5 linked regions of the Bombyx mori genome follow. The protein of the gene in region 2 purifies or fractionates together with the protein of the main gene of each other region. This does not show direct contact. Links are inferred from orthologs where the notes say so. Each region holds a gene or a part of one and is shown on either strand. Other genes may lie near its edges. The genes, in order: breast cancer metastasis-suppressor 1-like protein, paired amphipathic helix protein Sin3a, metastasis-associated protein MTA3, inhibitor of growth protein 1 and UDP-N-acetylglucosamine--peptide N-acetylglucosaminyltransferase 110 kDa subunit.

What was found.
Region 1: the proteins of paired amphipathic helix protein Sin3a (region 2) and breast cancer metastasis-suppressor 1-like protein purify together in Homo sapiens (affinity purification with mass spectrometry; 3 studies listed by BioGRID, with this or other methods). This does not show direct contact. The link is inferred for Bombyx mori from reciprocal best matches to the Homo sapiens genes SIN3A and BRMS1L.
Region 3: the proteins of paired amphipathic helix protein Sin3a (region 2) and metastasis-associated protein MTA3 purify together in Homo sapiens (affinity purification with mass spectrometry; 3 studies listed by BioGRID, with this or other methods). This does not show direct contact. The link is inferred for Bombyx mori from reciprocal best matches to the Homo sapiens genes SIN3A and MTA1.
Region 4: the proteins of paired amphipathic helix protein Sin3a (region 2) and inhibitor of growth protein 1 purify together in Homo sapiens (affinity purification with mass spectrometry; 5 studies listed by BioGRID and IntAct, counting the BioPlex papers as one, with this or other methods). This does not show direct contact. The link is inferred for Bombyx mori from reciprocal best matches to the Homo sapiens genes SIN3A and ING2.
Region 5: the proteins of paired amphipathic helix protein Sin3a (region 2) and UDP-N-acetylglucosamine--peptide N-acetylglucosaminyltransferase 110 kDa subunit purify together in Homo sapiens (affinity purification with western blotting; 4 studies listed by BioGRID, with this or other methods). This does not show direct contact. The link is inferred for Bombyx mori from reciprocal best matches to the Homo sapiens genes SIN3A and OGT.

What each region holds. Positions count from the first base shown.
Region 1 is NC_085124.1:2,162,656-2,167,289, reverse strand, and holds the start of breast cancer metastasis-suppressor 1-like protein, read right to left. Parts: upstream 3,193-4,634; 5' UTR 2,738-3,192; coding exon 2,536-2,737; intron 2,046-2,535; coding exon 1,895-2,045; intron 251-1,894; coding exon 157-250; intron 1-156. UniProt on the Homo sapiens protein: Involved in the histone deacetylase (HDAC1)-dependent transcriptional repression activity. When overexpressed in lung cancer cell line that lacks p53/TP53 expression, inhibits cell growth.
Region 2 is NC_085108.1:1,020,027-1,024,153, reverse strand, and holds part of paired amphipathic helix protein Sin3a, read right to left. Parts: intron 4,043-4,127; coding exon 3,949-4,042; intron 3,193-3,948; coding exon 3,018-3,192; intron 1,469-3,017; coding exon 1,311-1,468; intron 901-1,310; coding exon 784-900; intron 299-783; coding exon 201-298; intron 1-200. UniProt on the Homo sapiens protein: Acts as a transcriptional repressor. Corepressor for REST. Interacts with MXI1 to repress MYC responsive genes and antagonize MYC oncogenic activities. Also interacts with MXD1-MAX heterodimers to repress transcription by tethering SIN3A to DNA.
Region 3 is NC_085131.1:3,800,278-3,805,098, reverse strand, and holds the start of metastasis-associated protein MTA3, read right to left. Parts: upstream 3,240-4,821; 5' UTR 2,839-3,239; coding exon 2,811-2,838; intron 1-2,810. Other genes in the region: protein transport protein Sec23A, read left to right, coding at 3,851-4,129, 4,224-4,479. UniProt on the Homo sapiens protein: Transcriptional coregulator which can act as both a transcriptional corepressor and coactivator. Acts as a component of the histone deacetylase NuRD complex which participates in the remodeling of chromatin.
Region 4 is NC_085113.1:6,461,066-6,465,700, reverse strand, and holds the start of inhibitor of growth protein 1, read right to left. Parts: upstream 3,334-4,635; 5' UTR 2,929-3,333; coding exon 2,793-2,928; intron 2,239-2,792; coding exon 2,032-2,238; intron 1,948-2,031; coding exon 1,759-1,947; intron 1,226-1,758; coding exon 1,106-1,225; intron 1,030-1,105; coding exon 707-1,029; 3' UTR 1-706. UniProt on the Homo sapiens protein: Seems to be involved in p53/TP53 activation and p53/TP53-dependent apoptotic pathways, probably by enhancing acetylation of p53/TP53. Component of a mSin3A-like corepressor complex, which is probably involved in deacetylation of nucleosomal histones.
Region 5 is NC_085129.1:5,336,602-5,341,330, forward strand, and holds the start of UDP-N-acetylglucosamine--peptide N-acetylglucosaminyltransferase 110 kDa subunit, read right to left. Parts: upstream 2,971-4,729; 5' UTR 2,626-2,970; coding exon 2,484-2,625; intron 1,649-2,483; coding exon 1,438-1,648; intron 1-1,437. UniProt on the Homo sapiens protein: Catalyzes the transfer of a single N-acetylglucosamine from UDP-GlcNAc to a serine or threonine residue in cytoplasmic and nuclear proteins resulting in their modification with a beta-linked N-acetylglucosamine (O-GlcNAc).

The sequences.
Region 1 (4,634 bases), on a different chromosome or scaffold from region 2:
ACAAACGCAAACAGAAGAATGTTTTTCTTTTGCTGTTATTCACCATGATTGTAATGTTGAATTGAATATTTAAAATGTTGGTTTTGCTTTGGGAAACAACGTTTTGTTTTTATTGAACACAGATATTACTCCTGAGAGGGTATAACAATTACTTACCTTGAAATGTTGGTGTGCTGCTTGTTCTTCAGCCTCAAACTTGTGTTTTATGTTCTCGATCCTCATTTGCTTGAGTATGCCGGCTACTTCGATTCTGGAGATAACCGTTACTGAATTAGATCATATATCATATACACCCAATTCATTCATACATTTGAGTCGACTATTATCAAAGGCGGCAATCTGACTTTTGGACAATGATTGGTAAATCAGAAAAACAAATTATTGACTTTGTATTCCATCGGCAGTCACAAAACTCTTCGGAACGACATCTTAGATAAATAACAGGTTAACTATTAACCTTTATTTAATGCAGGTTTTGAACCGTATTCTTTGAAGGAGACGATTATATTCAAATCAATCTGTATTGACATATCAATAAAATTTTGTTGTCCAAATGCACAGATTGCCGCCTTTGATAATAGACGACTCATTTAAATTATTTACTATAACTATCATGTATAGGGTTCTGGTATGGAATCTTGGCTTCATAAAGCTTTTACTACCTCACTGTACTACCAAGGAACTCTTAAAGGGTCAGGGCAAAAACTCCAGTGCCTAAAATGCTTCAAAATCATTGTCTATTTTTTAAATCACATCTTAACTTCGTAAAAGTAACAGACTGTCATAGAGCCAGTGCCTCATATTCTAGTAACTGTTTTGCACCTGTAATAATGTACTTCCTGAAGGTGCTGGAATGGCAGGAGTGAGACTTGCAACACATATCTAACATGAGCTCTTTATATTTAGGGACATGTAGCAGCTTTGTCACACATTGTGATGTCTATGGTCCTCAGTAACAACTTACAGCAGGTGGGCTGTGATCCACTTCATCAGCTAACTGTGCATTCAAAAATAAATAAACACACAAAGAATTTAAACTTCAAATAACAGCCTGATTCTAATTAGTCAGTATCTAGCAGTAAGCTCTTCCGTCTTTTTCCAGCCTAGATCATTCCTAGTTTATATTCACTCTACCAAAATACTCAGATTAGGATTAGGATAGATAGGTAAGTATAATGGTCCTGCATAATTCTGCTGTTTCAACATGAAGCATATATTCTATTGCAATAGAATTCAAACTCATTTTGTGAGATGGACGTTTCCAAATAATGTTTTATTTTTAGATACATTTTCTTTTGTTTCAATAAAATTACAAGTTGTAAAATGGCTGTTTTGGTGGTTCTCAAGTTGACTCAGTACCACTTAAAAAACTGAAAAACTTCTATTATTTGTTAAAATGTTATCATTTTTTGTAATATTATAAACAAATTATAGTTATAGTTATTCCCATGGAATTTATTGTTCTAGAAGCATTGTCAATTTAATCACTTTATTGCTTTAGACAGTCAAGTGAAGTCAAAGTGACTTTACTGCCGGTTTCAGAATTGATTTTAGTACTAAAAAAGTTAGTAGTGGACTTTTTGGAATGAAAATCACTAAACAACAGGTAGGGTCTGAGCTTCTTCACAGAACTCCATATGAGTATCTCAGAGAAGATACAGATCTCAGGCAATACAGAATCTAAGAAAGAAGACACCACAAGAAAATTAACAATATCATTGTTTATAGTATTGTTTTTATTTATGTTGTAGTTAGTTAGCCAAGAAAGTAATATTTGTGGGGGTGATGGTATGATTATTTGTCTACTTTATCGTTTTTTATGAATTAAATTATCTCAAAAGATCCACTGTCAAATGTATCTAAGTTTTCAATGAATTTTATTTAATTTCAGCACCTGATTCTCATATTCTCCTGCAGTCTTCGAAGTGGACCGAGATATTCCTGGGAGCGACCACCCCTCACTTCGGCCAGTTGATATTCAACTTGCTTCACTCTCTCTACGTACAATTGTTCTCGAAGCACAGTGAACTGTCTCTCAAGTTTTGCTGTGAATAATTTCGGTAAAGTTTGTTAGAATCAACAATAATATTTCACACTTATGTTTCTGACAAGGAGGCTTTGGGAGTTTTAATTTATTTACGAAACTTAATAGCACCTAAAAATATAATTGCTCAACATAAAATTGTTATATAGTCAGAAGAATTTGGTTGTTCAACTGTAAAGCTAGTTTTAATTATTGCATTATTTGTACTTTTACTTTTTATCAAATAGCGAATTTAAATTGTCTTTTTCGTTCAATATTATTATCGAAATACAAACGTGTCCATTAAGAGTACTTTAGCAATGAAATTCTAGAAATTTAATCTAGGAAATTCAATTTAGTACATTATTTATAAATGTTATAATAATCTAATGTATTATTAGTTAAAAATATATACGATAACTCTACTGAAACAGCGATTAGAGCCCATATGTTTCGAAAACAATTCGACATTGTTTTGTAAACATAACCTCAAAAGTAACTTATCTACGAACCTAAGTTATCGAGACATTCGTTTCTGCGTCTCTCACACTCGCCTTCGTCCATTTCCGAAGAATCGTCGGAGTCAGGCTCGTCAGCTTCCTCAGCGCTAGAGTCCCGGTCTGGGCCACGGGAAGAGCCCCCAGATCTTTCGGTATCACCCCCAGACATTTCTCCATCTCCATCACTATCGCCTTCCACTTTCATTGACGGCATTACGGAAATATATTTTTAATTATGAAGTAGAATTAATTTTAATTTTGTAATGAATTGTGTTTTCGCTCCAATTAGTAAATTGCAAAATTTGAATACCTACGTCAAAATAAATTTGTGAAAGTGAAGTTAACGTCAATGTCATAGATAAGATAATGTCAAAAGTCAAAATAATAATGGTTTATTTTTTCAACAGGAAAGGCGAAAGTATCATACCATAACATACAATCTTGTATAATTGTATGTGTGTATTTTATAATTTGGAAAATAATATAATAATATGTTGTATGTTTATATAATAATATATAATAGTATAAAATGATTTATCGGAATCATCGATTGGGTTCGAATGCAATGAAACGTAAAATGGAAGCTAGCGTTTTTAGCAGTAGGCAGCGCGCGGCTTGGCTCTGCTCCTGGCATTGCTGAAGTCCATGGGCGACGGTAACCACTTACCATCAGGTGGGCCATACGCTCGTCTGCCTACAAAAGCAATAAAAAAACAAACAAAAAAAAGCTACTGGTTAAGACTTCAGTGGACTATTGGGAAGAACCCAAGAAACCACGTCCAGCGACTTTGTTTCATTGTCCTACAATTATGCACTTCCACAGATGCTAAACGGTTAATAAACCCTTGTAATCGTTTAAACCTGAAGACGCTAAATTAATTCACACAATTACATTTCTCGCGTTCCTACAACAAAACCGTCAAAATGTATATTTACAGTACCTACTTTCAGATTGTTCAATACATGACAGGCAAAGATATCATACCATGAGTGTCATCTTTTATTTTGCTGTTAAAGGTCGAAGCCATGTTATTTGAAAAGTGAAATGGGGCGGAATTAAAGCATCTGATTTATCTGAAATAGCCTTAAAAGCCACATCTGGAGATTTTTAGGCACTTTCATCATCATCTGATCATCATCAACAGCCCACAGTCGTCCACTGCTGGACATAGGCCTCTCCCAATCTACACTACTGAGCCCGGTCTACGGCTCTCCTCATCCACTTCTTGCCGGCCACCGTGCGGAGGTCATCGCACCATCTAGCTAGGGGGCGTCCCACGTTACGTCTTCCGCTGCGCGGTCTCCACTCGAGAACCCGTCTGCTCAAGCGATCGTCAGTCCTACGGCATATATGGCCAGCCCACTGCCACTAATTATTTAGGCACTTTGTTATATCCTAAATAATTAGTAAGCCAGTATGAGTAATCAACGTTTAATAGTTGAATCCTGAAGAGTTAAAAATTAACTAAACTAAACAATTTATGTGCCTCGGCTCGTCTCAAAGGACTCCACTTTAAACAGACTATTTAAAGGTGACTATTATAGACCATCAGATACAACACTTTCGTTATTTCTAGTGCCTTAAATTAGATTTATATTTATATGACCACTTATAACGGAGAGCGATCAGATTGTTTATGCGTTTAAAGATATAAAATGCAGTGGTGTTTATGTCCATAAAGATAATGTTGGTGATTGACATGATAACTTTTTTTTTCCTTCCTAAGCTGATAACCTTGAGAGGCTATATCAGCGGAACCTTAACTAGTAGGTGAGCTCACGGGGCTCAAACCTGACGACGTTGCTAACACGAACCCTAGCAAGAGCCGTGCTTCGCAGAATCTACCACGCGACCCAATAGAACATCGTTAATACCAAACGTAGTGTTTCTAAATGCGCAATGAAACTCTATTAAAAAAAGAATCTCACGAAGTCATTGCGTTAAATAGGCGGAGTGTTGTCTAGCCCTCAGACACAGTCCACTGAGTTTCTCACCGGATCTTCTCATTTGGTCGGGTTTCCGATCCGGTTGTAAATTCTATGAAGCACTGCTCTTGCTACGGCGAATATTATCAAACGTCAGGTTAGAGCCGTGAGGTCGAGGTCAATAT
Region 2 (4,127 bases):
GTAGAGATCACCTTATCAACCGAGGTAAAGCTATAACACTTCCAGTACGACACCGATATAAACTAATCAAATATCCTTTTCTGGTTAGTTCATAGAGTAAGAAAACATTGTATTTGTTTTTCCATTATTTTTTTAATGATATTAATTTATATTTCAGGAATCTCCCGCCTAGAATAGAACTAGTGTAATTTTATATTTACTTCTTTACAGAGCGGCGTCCGTCCCGAGCATTTCCTGGCGGCCGCCTCGCGAGGTAGCGCGCAGTACGACGTGCCGAGACGCTTGCACGTCGATAGATCTGCACAACAAAATCAATTAGATAATACTAGAAAACAAGAAACGATCAGGAAAATAAAGAAAAAAATTTCAATTTTATTTACAGTTCATCATCATCATCATCATCAGCCTTTATCGGCCCACTGCTGGACATAGGCCTTCCCCAATGCCTTCCACATAATGCGGTCTTCCGCCTTCCACATCAAACGACTTCCCTTTCCTTTCTTCCAAAACTCCACAAACACATATACTTTTGTTTCACTGGCAGTGTTTGATTTCTTTGTAGAAAAGATAGCTATATGAAAGATATTTGAAGGAAGGCCATCTATATACCAATATTCTTGCAAACGATTTTTTCACTTATTCAATTTCAGTAACAACTTATCATGTGAACAGCGAGTTTGTGTAGACCATATAATGAATTAAATAAAAGATGCAATACAGTTTAGTGAAACTATTCTATTCAGTCAACAGATACTTGATAATTGTAAATCACAATACACATACCAATATCCATTGCCATGTCTCCTTGGGGGCGATCATTTCGCATCTGTGCCCCGAGGGCGCCGACACTCTCGTACCGAGGGCGGGGCTCCACCGGTATAGGGTTGGTCCAAGGGTAGCCTGTGTAAACAGCGTGACAAATTTTTATCGAAAACAATGATTTTATGCTCGACAAAAAGTTTAATAGTAAGCATAAAATAATAAAAAGCCTTTCACCCCTCGATATATAGTTTTATTTTATAATTTTTTTATTGCTTAGATGGGTGGACGAGCTCACAGCCCACCTGGTGTTAAGTGATAACTAAAACCCATAGACATCTACAACATAAATGCGCCACCCATCCTGAGATATAAGTTATAAGGTCTCAGTATAGTTACAATGGCTGCCCCACCCTTCAAACCGAAACGCATTACTGCTTCACGGCTGAAATAGTCAGGGTGGTGGTACCCACCCGCGCGGACTCACAAGAGGTCCTACCACCAGTACAAAGATTACACCACCAGTACAGATATTATAGATAGATAGTTACCCGTATTAGGGGTGTGGGTGGGGGTGTGCGGCGGCGAGGGCGGGCCCACGAAGTCGTGCAGCCAGCGCTGCAGCTCCGGGTGGCGGCACAGGAACGGACTCGTCACTGACAATAACTCCGACGATGATATTATTTCGTTCGTGAACAGGAGCAGGCATCTATGGTGAAATAATACATTAACGCAAATTTTTTAAATACGATTTTTTTCTTTTCCTACCTAAGATAGCCTTGAGAGGCTCTTTCAGCGTAACCTTAACTAGTAGGTGAGCTCACGGGGCTCAAACCGGATTGTTGCTAGCACTGGCCCTAGCAAGAGCAGTGCTTCGCAGAATCTACCACGGGATCGGAAACGCGACCCTCTGACAAGGTCCGACGAGAAACTCAGTGGGCTGTGTCTGAGGGTTAATTGACTCGTCGCTAGCGACGGGATCGACGAGGACGGTGACCGGTTTACATACGAGTTGTATGTTATGTTTTATGTTAGATTAACACATATAGATAAGACATTGGTGTGGATTTTTAAATTTAAATTTATTTATTTCAACTTGTCAGCTTTCAATAAGTGATTTCTACTGGTGGGTCTAACAAAATTTTGTTTTCTTTTTAAATGTTTTATTTTTCAATCAATCGAAGATTTATTTTTAATATAAAAAACTAAATTAAATTATAATATAATTAATGCAAATGATTACATTTAGTAGATAACCCTTTTATTTATATTTTTTAAATCTATCAATACGTGGTAATTGAATACTTTGGGAAGATGATAGAAAAAGTATTAATTTTGAGTAAGTTATTTTATTAATGAGAGTTTTCATTCATTCCAAATTTCGTTTATACAATTATTTTTGTACTCTAAAGTGCCTGAGAAATGATCACCACATCAACAGCAACAGCTAGATAAAATAGATTTTTTATTTATTTATTGCATAGATGGGTGGGTAAAGCCCACCCGGTGTTAGGTGGTTACCGGAGTCCGTACACATCTACAACGTAAAAGCCGCAATCCACCTTGAGATTCTAAGGTCTCAATGTAGTTAGAACGGCTGCCCTACCCTTCAAACCGATACGCATTACTGATTCACGGCAGAAATAGGCAGGGTAGTGGTACCTACTCGTGCGGACTCACAAGAGGTCTTACCCCTACTTACATATATCTTATCTTATACCTTTAAACGAGCAATTCTTATATATATATGTATAATCTGAATCTCGGAAACGGCTCCAACGATTTTCATAAAATTTAGTATACAGGGGATTTAAAAAAAATTATGTAATATTAAAAAATTAATAAATAATAATTGCTAATTAAAAAAAAAAAAAAAAAAAAACATGCCCGCTGAGTTTCTTGCCAGTTCTTCTCAGGACGGAGGCTAGTTCTTGTGAATTGGCGGTAGTTCTTTTGACGTTCAACAAGTATGTACTTTCATTTATGTTGAATAAAAATTTTTTGATTTGATTTGATTTGATTTGATTTCGGGGGCGATAAATCGATCTAGCTACGATTTATTTTCAGAAAATGTTGTTTTATTCGTGTTTTCAATAAACAACTTTATGACTCTTCCTGACATCTATTGACGAATAATAATACTATTTTTCTTAATTGAGGGCAACTAACCGCTTTAAAGACACAACAAGATGGCGTTATAAAAAAAAAAAAAACGAGCAAAGCTCGGTCATCATCTAGTAATATATAAATGTAGTTACCTTAAAAAGTTATCGTAGACTTGCTGCGAGCGCAACGCCTTCCTGGCCCGCTCGAAGAAGCTGTAGTCGTGGATGGTGGCCAGCTTGGCCGCCTCCGAGTACGACACGTCGCGCACCGTGGCGCCCGACAAGCACGACGCGCGCGGCTTCTTGGCGGGCGGCGGGGCTGACGACGCTGTGGGGAACGTCATCTTTAAGTTTAACATGTTATTTGGGACATATATCATTCAATATTGCTATAATTGTTACGTTATAATACTCATTGTAAAAATGAATATTTAAAAAAAACTAATATTAAAAAAAAAAGACATGCCTGCTGAGTTTCTTGCCAGCTCTTCTCAGGACAAGAGGCTAATTTTTTGTGAATTGGCAGTAGTTCTTTTTGACGTTCAACAAGTGTGTACTTTCATTGATGTTAAATAAAAAAAAATTGATTTGGTTTGATTTACTGGTCATAGGACCCGTTACGAGTCCGCGCAGGTAGGTACCAGCGTGGATGGGGCCGTTGGAACCATAGATCTTAGAACTCATATCTCAAGGTGGGTGGCGCGGTTTTACGTTGTAGATGTCTATGGGCTCCAGTAACTATTTGATACCAGGTGGGCTGTGAGCCATCTAAGTAAAAACGATCTAAGCAATAAAAATAAATAAATAAATAAAAAACATTTATAGCTATGTTGTGAGGATAGATATCACCATCCTGCCCTAATGTTCTGAAGTTGCATATGTGTTGGTTTGTAGGAATTGAGATTAAGAGTTCAAAACACCAGGTCTCTCAATTCATGGACATTTCATGCAACAAACAATTAAAAATGGCTCTTTGATAAACATAAATCCCTGCTTGATTGTTAAACATTTACTAATTTCAAATAAACAAAAACTAATCATCAAGTTACTCAACCTGAAACAATGTGAAACATAAGAAACTTACGTTGACCTGTCGATGAGATACTCGGAGATCTCTTGAGGTGATGATGCTGCGGATGCTGTACCACAGCCGGCGGGGTAGTCACATGCTTTGGAACCTGTGCGAAGCATTATGGGTTTGAATAAAAATTATTCATAAATGATCATAAAAACTATGGATGACTAAGTAGTTGTTTGTTGACA
Region 3 (4,821 bases), on a different chromosome or scaffold from region 2:
AAACTTTCACAATCACGCCACAATTGAAACGCCTTGGAGTCTTTAATAAAACAATGCCACAACTTTAACATTCACAATATATTCTCAGGACTTGTTTCATTGTAATATTATATGGACATTACTGATCAATTTTTATTCTTAATCATAGTAATACCAGCGTTACGTAATATAATAATTGATCTCATCCCCCGTCGTCTTTAAATACGTTGCTTGATAAATAATTGGCGACAGGGCATAAGCGTGGTGATACTACCAAAATAAAATATTTAAAATGCATTTAGAAAGGATTTCCTTATTTAAGGGAGTCTCACATTAAGCCTTGTATCCCAAGATAGGTGATCTATCTTATTTATTAACTCAATAAAAAAATATAGTACTTTAAGAAATTGCTAGAGATATTTTCGTAAAACTTGGCAAGCTCGCGACAAGAAAGGAATGTAATAGTATAAGGTCATTTGTTTTAAATTACATATTTTCACACACACCACATTTTAATTTTATTTAAGTTCCTTTCTTGATAACTGTTATATTTTTATTATGTTTAAAATGAACTTCAGTAATTCTATTACATTATATAGGTGTATAACACTGATATTATTAGTGTAGGTATTAGCGACATAAGCAGGAAAAATAGAAGAAGAATAATGTATGATTAAATATATTTATGGGCACTTTGAAAATGGATAATTAACTTATTTTATTAATGCTTTTTTATGAAATACTTTTAGTGTTAATTTATATAAATACGTAATATTCCCGTAAAAAAGGAATTAAATATTTTGAAATTTATATATGCATAAAAATACTATGTTGGCTTATATAACAAAAAATAGTATTTTAGTTGGACAAAACTAAGCATAGGTCATTGAGCTCAATCAATTTTCAAAAGCTGAAGGTCACTGATAAAGACAATTTTATACTTTTATTGAATAAAAAAACACTTGAAAAAAACTACTATTTTCCATTTTCATTATTGAAATTTTAATAATCATCCTAGTGATTTTGAATTTATTTATATCTGTATGTGTATATCATATTATTATGGTTTCTTATTGTACTGCGTCAGTGTGTTTTTAGTGTATTTTCTTTACTCAGCACCTAAATTAAATTTATATTGTGTATTATGCAGATGTATATTAGATATCTGCATGTTTGCATTAAAATTGCAATATGTAGAAATTTATAAATAGATACAATAACAAACTAGAGTAGAGCAGAGACGTTTTGTTGTAGATCAAAATATTCTATTACAAACAAATATACTTAAAATAACACTACGCTAACACAATACTATTAATTTAAACTGAAAGAATGCAATGTATTGTTATAATTCTTTTCCTAGATACCCTGAAATGTTTTAATTCATTAATTGCAGGGTCACTGAATGACAGCTGACAAACCCTTTAAACTTTTATGCCAGAATAGATTTAATAATCACTGTGATCATGGTCTATATCAATCATTGGATTAATAAAATACCTTTTAATTTTGAATCCTTTGCATTTGCAATATTAAACTTTGTTTATTGGAGCATACCTACTGCTTTCAGTACATCTGAAGTATTTGTGGTGGCCTTGATAGAATAAAGAAATGCATGTTTGTTTATGTTATTAGTGTTGATTGCAAAAAATTGTGTTTGACAGCATTTTCAAAATGTTTTTATTATTTTTATAATGAGAACAGTTTGGCAGTAGTTTTAGAGTAATAAAAAATAGTGTATAGCTCTTTCAGGTTTAAAAGATTAACAAAAGATTAACATTAATTCATTGAACTGACAATTTAACTTGATTTAATAGCAAAGTAAAATTTTATTGGCTTTAGAACATATTTTATAATTGTTGTATAGGTAATTAGAATGAAATTGTTAATTTTATGTTTTGGAGGGAAAAAAATATTTCATTTTAAGATTTACTATATTGACCTAAGGTTAGTGTAAAACTACGGGTCAAGATTTAATTTTAAAATTAAAAACTTTAATAATCCCTAATTTATAGTTGATCACAGAGTAATATTTATTTACCCATTTAATGAAATTATTAAATAAAATACATTCCATCTCGGTTCTAACAAAATTATTTTACTAAGAATTAGCTAATTTTGAAACAAAGACATAACCTTAACAGAAGCATTACATTACATGATAGGAAGTGATACAAAAGGAAGGGCTAATTAACATTCGACGCGACGGACGCCGAGTGCGGTACATGAGGCGCTCGTGTTGTTCTCGCGACTCGCGGCATCAATATCCTACAGCAACCGACATCCTCGACTACCACCGTCCATACACAAACAAACCAATAATTTATAATGACTAGCGACGCCACACTTTTACTGTTTACTTTCTTATCATCCCTAAACTCTTCCAAGATATACCAAATAACCCAAAAACAACCAGCTCTCGTATCAAAATGTTTTGACAACATCGAATATAACCTAAAATCTCACGTCAAAATCATCAAACTATTCTAAAAAACTATCATCTCAGTTAGGTAACTAAAGACGCTTCATGCCTAACCGCCCGCACGCAGATACACGAGCCGATACAATGATACCTAGACGTAAATGCTAATGTCCTATTTGATTTGACGAATTTTGGTAAAATATAACTTTTCCGCAAACTTTATCAAACGGTTATAAACACGATAACCTCCACGGATACATAAAAACCGGCATTTTTTGGGTGTTTAATATGTTTGGATTAATTAATATAAGCAATTAATGAAAGTACGACAATCAAAGCAAAGCACCGCTAGTCGGCTGGCGGTGAACCGGCGAAGCTACAACAAAAATAACCAATTATTGCTACTCACCGCCGACTCTGTACATATTCGCAGCCATTTTTATACACAATCACTATTCATTAACACTTAATTAATCTACATCTGACACAATTAATAACTATAACACTATGTAATTGAGCTTTTAACAATGTTTTTCATCACGTTAACTCCGGACGCCTTTCGCTGATCGCCATTTTCTTTCACACTACTAATTTGGCCAGTGCGCAGTCGCACTTTTTGGCGTAAACTTCCTGCTTTTGAAACAAAGCAATGACATGTCATTAATTTTGTGTCCACAAATAAAATCCAAATGATTATTATTTTGAATTATAAAAAGTATTGTTTGAAAATAATATCGTCCATTGAAAATTTATTTTACGATGTCCTAAAATAAAAAAAATAATTCATTCAACCACGTTTCGTTCTTTTAACGGGAACAGTGTTGACAAGATTTTAATTATATTAAATATTTACTGTAATTTTTTTTTCAACAAGAAGTAAGAAAGTTTCTTTAATTAAATAAATTTTAACATAATATTTATTTGTATATTGAAGACTGAATATAATAAATTGTGTTTTATATCTAAAATTAATTTTAATTCGAATTTGGAATGTGGAAAGGAACGTCAGAGAACCATAAAGAAAACCAAAAATTTTTATTTTTTTTCTCCCTTAAAAGTATTTTTATTTAAAAATGTTATTTATATATTTAAAGATTTATTAATTTGTGGTTCGTTTGATAGTAAAATTTTAAATTATTTTTATATGTTGTGATGGATGGCGTGTAAAAATGTGACGTGGCCAGTATGACAGCTGATTTGTCTATGGTGTTGACAACTGCCAAATCAGCCAGCCTCTCCAGTCTGCTTGGTTTCTAAAAAATTGAGAAATTTATGGGATTTTTGAATGAAGACATATTGTGATTTAAGAAATTTGCTCATGTGTTTATAACTGGTTCGCCGCATGACTTTTTGGTACGTACATTTGGTTAATAGTGCTTCTAAAGTTACCAGAGTCTGTGTGCATTTATGATGTTTTTGTAATGTATCTTTTTCGTATAGATCGGCGATATGGCCACATACGAGGAGTTCATCCAGCAGAATGAAGACCGCGATGGCATACGGTTCACTTGGAACGTATGGCCATCAAGTAGAATTGAGGCTACGAGGCTTGTTGTGCCTTTGGCTTGCTTGTACCAACCGCTTAAGGAGCGCCCCGACCTACCACCGATACAGTACGAGCCTGTACTCTGTACACGAAATACATGCAGAGCTATATTGAACCCAATGTGCCAGGTGGATTACAGAGCTAAATTATGGGTCTGCAACTTTTGCTTCCAACGAAACCCAGTGAGTACTTGAAGAAATTCGCCACTAACTCAATTAGTCTAATGTTTTTTTCTTTTAAAGTACTTATAGAGTAATCAATATATTTTAATTTCAGTTTCCACCTCAATATGCTGCTATATCAGAACAGCATCAACCTGCAGAACTGATTCCTAACTTTTCCACCATAGAGTACACAATAACGCGAGCACAGGCTATGCCCCCAATCTACCTGCTTGTTGTTGATACTTGTTTAGATGAGGAAGAACTTGGGGCACTCAAAGATTCCTTGCAGACTTCACTTAGTTTAATGCCTCAAAATGCACTCGTTGGACTAATAACATTTGGTAAAATGGTACAGATTCATGAATTAGGTAAGCAATATGCTTAAGATGTTATTTTCTTTGTTTATATCTCTATCTAAAATATAATATGTAGTCACAGAAAAAATTAGAACAAAAGCTTCCTGCAGACTGAGAGAAGTATCAAATTAACATGATTAACCATTAAATAAATATTATTAAATAAAGTTTCTTTCCTCCAATGAACACTACGCTAACTCCAAATTTGTAGCTTTACAGGAGGAGCATTTAAATGAAAAAAGTTGATAAAATCTTTATAATTGCAGATATATTATGTTTTTTTCTTGTGTAACTAGCTGATTTAATCTTCCGTAGAACCCCATCAATAACATCAATACTTTTAAAATAGAGAAG
Region 4 (4,635 bases), on a different chromosome or scaffold from region 2:
AATAACTTTTTATTTTCCCGTATTCTTAAAACTAAAACCACCTTCATGATTTTTTTGTTATCAGTTTATAATTTTTTTGTTCTCATGAAAAATTATGTGCGTCAACTCTTAATGACCCTGAATCACAGAGCACATCTAGGCAAGTTTTTTGTGCTTAATATAAATAATAAAATACGCTGCCCAAAACTGAAAAGTTAACATAATATATCGAAATTACAAAAATAATTGGCATCTATTTAACATTGTGAGATGAAATCCGATGTTAGTATTTCAGTCATTTATTATATATTATTCCTTGTGGTTAATTAACTGCTTTACGTAAATTAAGAACAACCGTTGTTATTCACATTAATAGGCACATTCTTAATCTGAATATGCCATAATAACAATTTGTCACAACTTGTATAAAATAATTTTAATCATCTCTTACAAAAGTGAAATCACATTTAAATACTTCAAGTGCTCTAGACGAATGTCTGTCAATCATGGATTCAAAACATGTGGGGCATCATAACGTAAATAAACATTACCTTTACAAGTTTTTAATTTTAAAAGGGGTTTGAAAATAAAATAATCCTCCGGAAAGCATACTCTTGTTTTTAATTATAATTCAGTATAGTACCTTAAAATAGGTACCTACAGAAACAAAATCTTGATGAAATTAATATTCACTTATTTTGAATCCACATTAATGATTCTTTGAAGACTATGCTTTTTCTTCTTTCTCTCTGTTGTATCTTTCTAATTCTTTAAGAAATTGTCCCTTCGGCTTCATGACATTCGGTCTGTCGCCGCGACACTTGGGACAAAACCATTTCCCTTTAGGTTTAGTTGTGAGAGAAACGCACGAGAAGTGGAACCACTCTATAGGACATAAGTCGTTGTCGCAGAGAATCATCTCGCCAAATGAGATTTGGTCACAGAGACAGTAGCGAGGCTCATCGGGGTCGATGGCATCTGGCTCTTCCGGTGGCGTCTCCGAACGTTGCGTCGTTTGTCGGACTTTGCGTTTTTTCTTTTTACCTATACCTGGAACACAAACAAAGCAAATGTTATGTATTTTTATATTAAAAAAATGTAAGATTTATTAGTTTGCTCAGTTTACCTTTCTTATGTGTTGTGTTGTGTGTGTGCCTCTCACTATCTCGTTCACTGGAATCTGCTCCATCTGTCATTGCACCTGCTGTTGTTCTTGATCTACGTGGTCTTTTTGACCACCGTTCACCTGAAATAAAGTGTGAAATAGATTACCATTGACTAAATCTATCATAACTGCTGTATTTTAGATTTTTTCTAAAATGTTTCATGTTGTGATACTATAGTAAAACTGCAATATGTAAATACTTTATACAAAGAAGATGCAATTTATTACAGCAATAAATGTAGAATAGTTATAGTCTATATAAGAATACTATATATAGAATGGGTTATTGCTGCATCGCCAACAGAAATATTTTATTTAAAGCTGTCTTCTGATTATATTTTTTGTTAGGTATACAATTTGATTGCCTTCAAATTTCCGCAAAATCAAAGGGTATTGTGAGATTAAACAAGTTAGTAATACCACCTTGGTTAACCCCAGGGAGTCATGAGGTTGTTAACCCATCTCAGTAAGAAAATATGGAGGGGAGTCTTTGGTTTAATGAACTTATAGATTTCTGTAATTCAAGGTATTTGAGTAGATACAATATTGAATTTAATTAAAAATTAGTAATAATTAAGAGATTATTAATAAATTATTCAGCATTTGATATCTACCACTGCCTTTTTCCTTCTCAACTTTTTCTTTTTCTTTCTCATTTGTTCTTTCTGGAGGAGGCGGTGGTGCTATGTTTTGATGAGGAGTTGTTAACACACTGGCTTCCTTCTCTGTCTTGGAGAGTACATCTTGAGTTGGAGTCACCTCTTCTTTTGTAGTGCCATTTGTTGTTACTTCTATACAAGATACTGTTGGTAGACCAATAACATATTGTAATTAAATTGATTTACATTAAATAATTACATTTCTATATAAGGCAAAATTTGACTTACATAATTTTTTGTGATCAGAATCAAGTGACCTTTGTTTGTTGTCGATGAGATCTTGTAATATTTGTACAACTTGTAGTTTCTCATCTCCTATCTCTTGTGCAGCAACTAAAACTGTTTGTAGGCGTAGTGCAGCTCTGGTTCGACGGCGTTCCTCTGTGCTTGATCCTATACAAATATTTAGATGCTTTTCTGCCTCACGCAAACATTCTGTTGAAAAAATAAATTTCAATTACAGAACAGCTTTGTGTCCTTCTTCTATCTTGATTTTCAAATGACCGTAGAACTGTATATCATATTATATACGTTGATGACTATAGAATGTTGAGAAACATAATTTTATTAAAGAAATCATTAAAAAATACAAATCATTATTAGTAATTGGATCAAATTGAACTTCTATATTAATAGGGGTTTCTTTAAATTTAAACTTCAGTCTAGTTAATTAGTAAAAAAATCGATTAGTGAGCAAAAGTATTTAACAAATTAGGGGCATGAAGGCAAATTGCAATAACCTCTAAATGCACGAAAAGTGAAACAAACTGAAAATTATTGATAGAAATGTAATTTAAAAACTAAAACCTGGGCTATTTCGGTGCTAAGAACATAAAATATACAAAGGAATGCATACGTAATTAGGTTGAAAGAAAACGTCAACAAAGCTGTTTCGAAACAAATTTACATTTCAAACATATAAATTCAGAATTGAAAAGGGTTTATTAGTTATTGATTTGAAGAAATATAGTAACAAATGTGTGATTTACCCCTATATGTTACGTCAAGCTCCCGCATACGTGATAAATGTCTCTGAAGATCATTTGGAAGGTTTTCTACGCAATCTAAGTAGTTTTCAACATAAGCGGCTGAAAGCAAAGCTTCAGTCGAAGTTTGGTTTAACATTGCTATAGTCTAAATTGACCTTTCATAATAGTAATCAGATAAATTACACTAAAAACACTTCGAAAGCGAATAAGCAAAACAAGTTCACTATATTTAACAACTGAACAGTCCCGTCAAGCATCGTTTGCGTTCGGAAATGTTTCAAATGTTTGTTGATTGTTCCAGGCAGTGACACAAGCTGTTCAGAAACATACTCCCAATGCATACATCACAACCCAATAAAATCTAAATAGATTCTTGAAAATAAAAATGAAATTTTGATTTTAGTTAAATATTTAAAAGAATCATTTTAATTTTTTTATTACTTGTAATAAGTTTACTTATTATTTGTAAAAAGGTAATTAAATTTATTTTCTTTTTGACACACTTGATTTAAGTTAAATTCATAGAGTTTCTATTGTTTTAATAATGAAGAAGTTTTACTGAATAATGAAATTACAAAAAAAAAACGATCATCACACAGAAATAGGCTAAAAATAAAAGTTCCATTTATATAAAACTTATTTTCAGAATTTTTATTCCTATTTTTTCAAATAATTCGGAACATGAGTCGTGAAGTTTTGTGAATAATTGTTTTAATTTGTTAATTTAGTTTTCTTATTAACCGTTTAGCAACTCTGAAACTGCACAGGAGTAGAACAATTGTTATCGAGCAACACTTCCGGCCTCACATAATAAATTATTTACGAACTTAGAAAATATATAGAACTTATTATTCTTATAATATAATTAGTAATTTCATAATCAAGTAAATAAAAACCCCCATTCCGACAGGAGCCCTCTTCTTCGATATAGCGAAGGCGTTCGACAAAGTCTGGCACAACGGTTTGATATACAAACTGTATAACATGGGAGTGCCAGACAGACTCGTGCTCATCATACGAGACTACTTGTCGAACCGTTCGTTCCGATATCGAGTCGAGGGAACGCGTTCCCGGCCCCGTCACGTCACAGCCGGAGTCCCGCAAGGCTCCGCCCTCTCCCCGTTACTATTCAGTTTGTATATCAACGATATACCCCGGTCTCCGGAGACCCATCTGGCGCTCTTCGCCGATGACACCGCCATCTACTACTCGTGTAGGAAGAAGGCGTTGCTTCATCGACGACTTCAGACCGCAGCTACCACCATGGGACAGTGGTTCCGGAAGTGGCGCATCGACATTAACCCCACGAAAAGCACAGCGGTGCTCTTCAAAAGGGGTCGCCCTCCGAACACCACGCTGAGCATCCCTCTCCCGACTAGGCGCGTCAACACCCCCGCCCCCGCCGTTCGCCCAATCACGATGTACGACCAGCCCATACCGTGGGCCCCGAAGGTCAAATATTTAGGCGTCACCCTCGACAGTAGGATGACATTCCGCCCCCACATCAAGACGGTACGCGATCGTGCCGCCTTCATCCTAGGACGTCTCTACCCGATGATATGTAGGCGAAGTAAAATGTCCCTTAGAAATAAGGTGACACTCTACAAAACTTGCATACGCCCCGTCATGACCTATGCAAGTGTAGTGTTCGCTCACGCGGCTCGCATACACTTAAAATCCTTTCAAATTATTCAATCCCGTTTTTGCAGGATAGCCGTCGGAGCCCCGTGGTTCGTCAGGAACGTCGTCCTCCATGACGACCTGGACTTAGAGTCCATCAGTAAGTATCTGCAGTCGGCGTCCATGCGCCACTTCGATAAAGCGGCACGACACGAGAACCCTC
Region 5 (4,729 bases), on a different chromosome or scaffold from region 2:
CAGGCTAGTGATCCTCGTGTATGCACCATAGGATCCTGTTTCGATTAATTATCGGAGTCAGTGTGATTATTAAATATGTTAGGTATTGGAATACTAGATATACCACAACCCGAAATGATGATCACGACCTCTCTACTAAGAGTGCAAATGATTGAGAAAATAATACCCTGAGACTATTGAATATTAAATTTAAGTTATACAGTTCAACATTATTCAGCATGTGTTGTAGTTTGAATTGATTATGAGCCGGGTGTCTGATTTTATAAACAATTCTGTTTTAAAATATATGAATGTTCTTGAATGTACTTATGACAAAAACTTGTTAGTTAAAAAGCATGATGAGGTAGCTTAAAAAAAAAGAAGACACCATTTTAACCCAAATACATTGTTCATTTAAAAATCTCCTAATTTTCAGTAGTTTTAAAACAATAGACAATTTTAATTTATAATAACATTGACACAGAAGATCTAGAAATTATTACTAGGTAGTAGGTACTAGGTACCTTACAGTATTACAAAATGTTTTAGATTTTTCATTTGTGAATTAGTGAATTATTTTCTCAGCCTTATACGTCTTGATTATGAAAACAGGAGATTAAACCGTACCAGTAGTTTTAATAATTATTGTAAAAATTGAAACATGTTTCCACATAGAAAATGAGTTATTTTTGTTAATCAACTAATTAGATTTATTGCAGTGAATGTTAATGATTTAAGCAATTAATTAATCAAGGTCATACACCACATTTGTCCTAAATAAGTAGTTGCTCCAAATTTTTAATGTGCTGTTTGTGCCAAATTTACTTTATTTTGACAAAAAAGTATTCAAAATACTAAATATTTTTAGCGAAAACTGTCCGTAAACTTTCTTATAACAAAAAATGTATGTATTGTATGTATCCTTAATAAGCAATACATAATTTTTGTATTAACCAAATGAAATAAACTACATCATGCGCACATCGCTGGATTTAACTTATTTTATTGTATAAATCTTTATTGTATAAACGATTTTTATTATTAGCACTTTCATTTAGTCCATTTTTATTATTAATAAAATGTTAAGGTAAAAGTGAAGTGAAATGAAGCAAATTAGAAATTCAATATTTCCAACTTGTATTTAATTTAAACTTTCTATACATTACAATATCATATATGTTATAGTTAAAGTATGATCTAAATAACTTTCACAGCCAGACAGAGACACGTGTCTTGTCTCTCAAAGCTGTCATTACAATACACTGCAAACAGTTATTTTTATAAACTATTTTATAAATTATAGGAATGGTCACAAATCACTTGGACTTGTTCCAAATTGATTCTCGAAATACAGAACAACTGATTATACAGTAATAAAGGTTTCATTTTTTTAAGAATTCAAGACAAACCTTTAAATTATAGGAGAAATACATAAAAGTATATAGTGCTCTTCCTCACCTGTAGGCTTCAGCCAACAAAGGATTCTGTTTGATCGCCAATGTGGAAAAATGAGCAGACTTGTCCAGTCTCCGACACTGGAAATGTATAGACGAGAGTAGGAGTAGCACCCCTGTGTTTGTACTGTCCTGGCGCCATAACTGCATACAGTGATGTTCTGCACTTTCATAATCACCAGCTTGATATTCTCGATGTGCTAATTCAAGTAAGCCTAAGGCAAAATTAAAAGTAAATAAATACCCAGTATAAGAGATCTTATTATCAATTGTTTGTGGGTTTGGCAAGTAACTATTTCCCATCAATGTAGAAGAAGTGATTTAGTGTTTTATTTGTTTCTATAATTCAGTGGCTTCATTACCTCTCTGAAAGCATTTAGGCTAAAATAATAGTTTTACATTACATATATTGAACAGGACAATACAGTTATTGTAGGAAGTAATTGAAACCTACATTGATGAAAGGAAAGCAAACAGCTATTCAATTTATATAGAGATTTAGAAAATACAATCCAAAAAGTTTATTTTTATCTAAATTTTGGAGTCTTACTCTACCTATCTACTGCTCAAAATATACTAAGATTTCAATAAACTAATCTCAATGAGGGCAACAAAGCCTTTTAATGAAACAAAGAGGCAGAGGTAAATTCATGTAACTAAACATGTCAAATCATCCCAGATACTTCATTAGACAAAGGATTCTTCTACAAGTTTATAATAGGCAGCAATTTAATCACCAAAAAAGCAATGAGAACCTAAAATATTTCTGGTCATTTTAGTCATTGATGAATAGCGCGTCGGGCTTTTTTCAAAGGATTTCACTTAAATCTTAGAAACATAAATTAATATTATAAATACGTGAGTAATCCGAATCAGTAAATGAATGCATCGCTATTTTAAACAAGACGTGTACAAAAAATTCCAAGAGACATTACTCTAACATGACATACCATACTATGTAGGCACCAATTTGCAAATTTTGCAAATTTCCAGACAAAATGTAATACTTAATATTAACTAATTCAATATTAAACCTTTCCAGAGACTTACCCACAGTAGATATTTGTTGTAAGTCCGACATTTTCAATATCACAGCATTTGCAGGCACACCGACGATTTGCTGAGCTTGGGGTTGCGTCGTGACAGACTGTGGCACTGCTACATTTGCTTGCGGTTGCATTTTTGTTATCATCGTTCAATTTGAAGACTGATCACAGGCACACATATAAATCACTAAACATTTGTAAGTAATAAATAGTTACTGATTTTAATCTCCATGTATAATCTAGCTAAATTTACTTCATAAGTGCAAACTGCAAATCCCAACGACGCGACGGATAGCGGAAACATCCTATAACTTTTTAATTGTCGAATTGTCAATATGATGTCAATAATGGAACAAACATACTACTATAGTCTTTATGGCATTGAGATACGAATAAAATTGGATAAATGATTTAAGCGGATGCTCAGTTTCTTCAGATTTTTTTAGTACGGCAATCGTCGTAGTGCATGTTTTTTTCAATGGCAAAAATAATAGTAATGCCACGCCAAGTCCTTGTTATAGACACTCATACAAAGTGATGTCAACTTTAAAAAAATCCCATTTACTTCAAAAAATGTAAACTAGAAGCTGACATTAATGGCATGCAAGATTCTTATCTAACTGTTTACTTAAATTGCTTCAATATTTTCTGATCCTCAATTAAATAATGTGTATGGAGCAAAACTATCGTAGTTAAATATTGAAACCGGCATGTTAGAAACCAAAAAATCATTATTTTAGACTTATTTTTTATCAATGTATTTGAATTAGACTTACCATACTATTTAAACCTCGGTGTTTTTTAACGGTAAATGCATCATTCAGAACTTTTCAGAGACAAATTATCACGATTATGAACAATTAATGCCAGCGATTAGTTATACAACATGAATTGTCTACCTACTGCCAGTGGATAAATAATTCTTCTAACCTCTATAATTCAGTACTGTTGTTCACAATTATTCATGGTAGTAAAATTCTCAAATTGCAATTTTTTAAGTTATACTTCTTTAGGCGCGTTATGAAAAATTGATGAGAGTGAAATTTTATTATGCGCGCGCACCGTGACACAATATTAACAGAAATGAAGTTGCCCGCTAAATCGCTCATTACAATACGACCGACGTAACTTGGCGAGTCTGAATATAGCCGCAGGTGAACTTTAGCGCATGTACACTCGTAAAAAAAGTGTTATTAGCATTCATTTTTTAGTAATATAAATGACAAAAGTATTATTATCATACTAAATATTATTAAATTATTAACGTTAAATATTTATTATTAATTATTCATCTTTAAAAAAAAATTAATAAAAATAAAGTATAGCTTCTTACGCGCGTACATAAGTACACGCACCCTTTTCTTTTTAGTGCATTATCATCTTTATTACACCGTCTTTTCCCTATATCATTAAGACTATTAACTGGGGTATGTTAGATTAGGTACTTTTACAAAACTAAATTAGCTAAATTAAACAAAAAATAGTTTTCTAGTAATAGTAATAGCAGTAATAATAATAGTTAATTTGATTTCTTTTATTGCCTATATGGGTGAACAAGTTTACGGCCCACCTAGTATTCAGCAGTTACTTGAACTTATAGACATAAAAAACGTAAAAGCCGCCATGCACCTTTATATGCGAGTTGTAGTCTGAGTTCTATACAACAACCACTGTCCTACTTTTCAAAATAGAACTTATTGAGACCTCGAGGTAAAAATAATTAAATAATTAATTTATTCTATCGTCTACCAGTGACTGTCATAGACACCTTAATCACATTACTTAAATCTTTTATCCTCAATCTATGGAGGCTAGAGGTAAGGAGAATCATCTTATATGGGAGAAGCTTGAAAAAGTGTCCCACTTTCAGTACTAGATAACAGTTCAAAAATGCTCCAAAATGGCGCTAGCATAGGCACCAGGTATGATATGAATTGAGCAGTTGTTAACTGATTGAAGTGTGCTGAGTTAGGAAATTTAATATATTTAATGACTAGAGTAGTTAGTGACAGTGTAATATACAAGACCTCACATGTTTACATAGTCCAAACTAATTTCGTTAATATAAGCTAAAATTATTGCTGTGGTAAAACGTGGAGACATCGATTGCATTTTTTTATCAGCTTAGATAAAATACTTTTTGTGATTTTGTAGTGCTTACAGTTCTTTCGTCTTTTTTTATTTCTCTATCTTATTCTAATAACTTTCAGCGCTTTTTTTAAAATTTACCCGGTTGCTACTGTAGCGCCA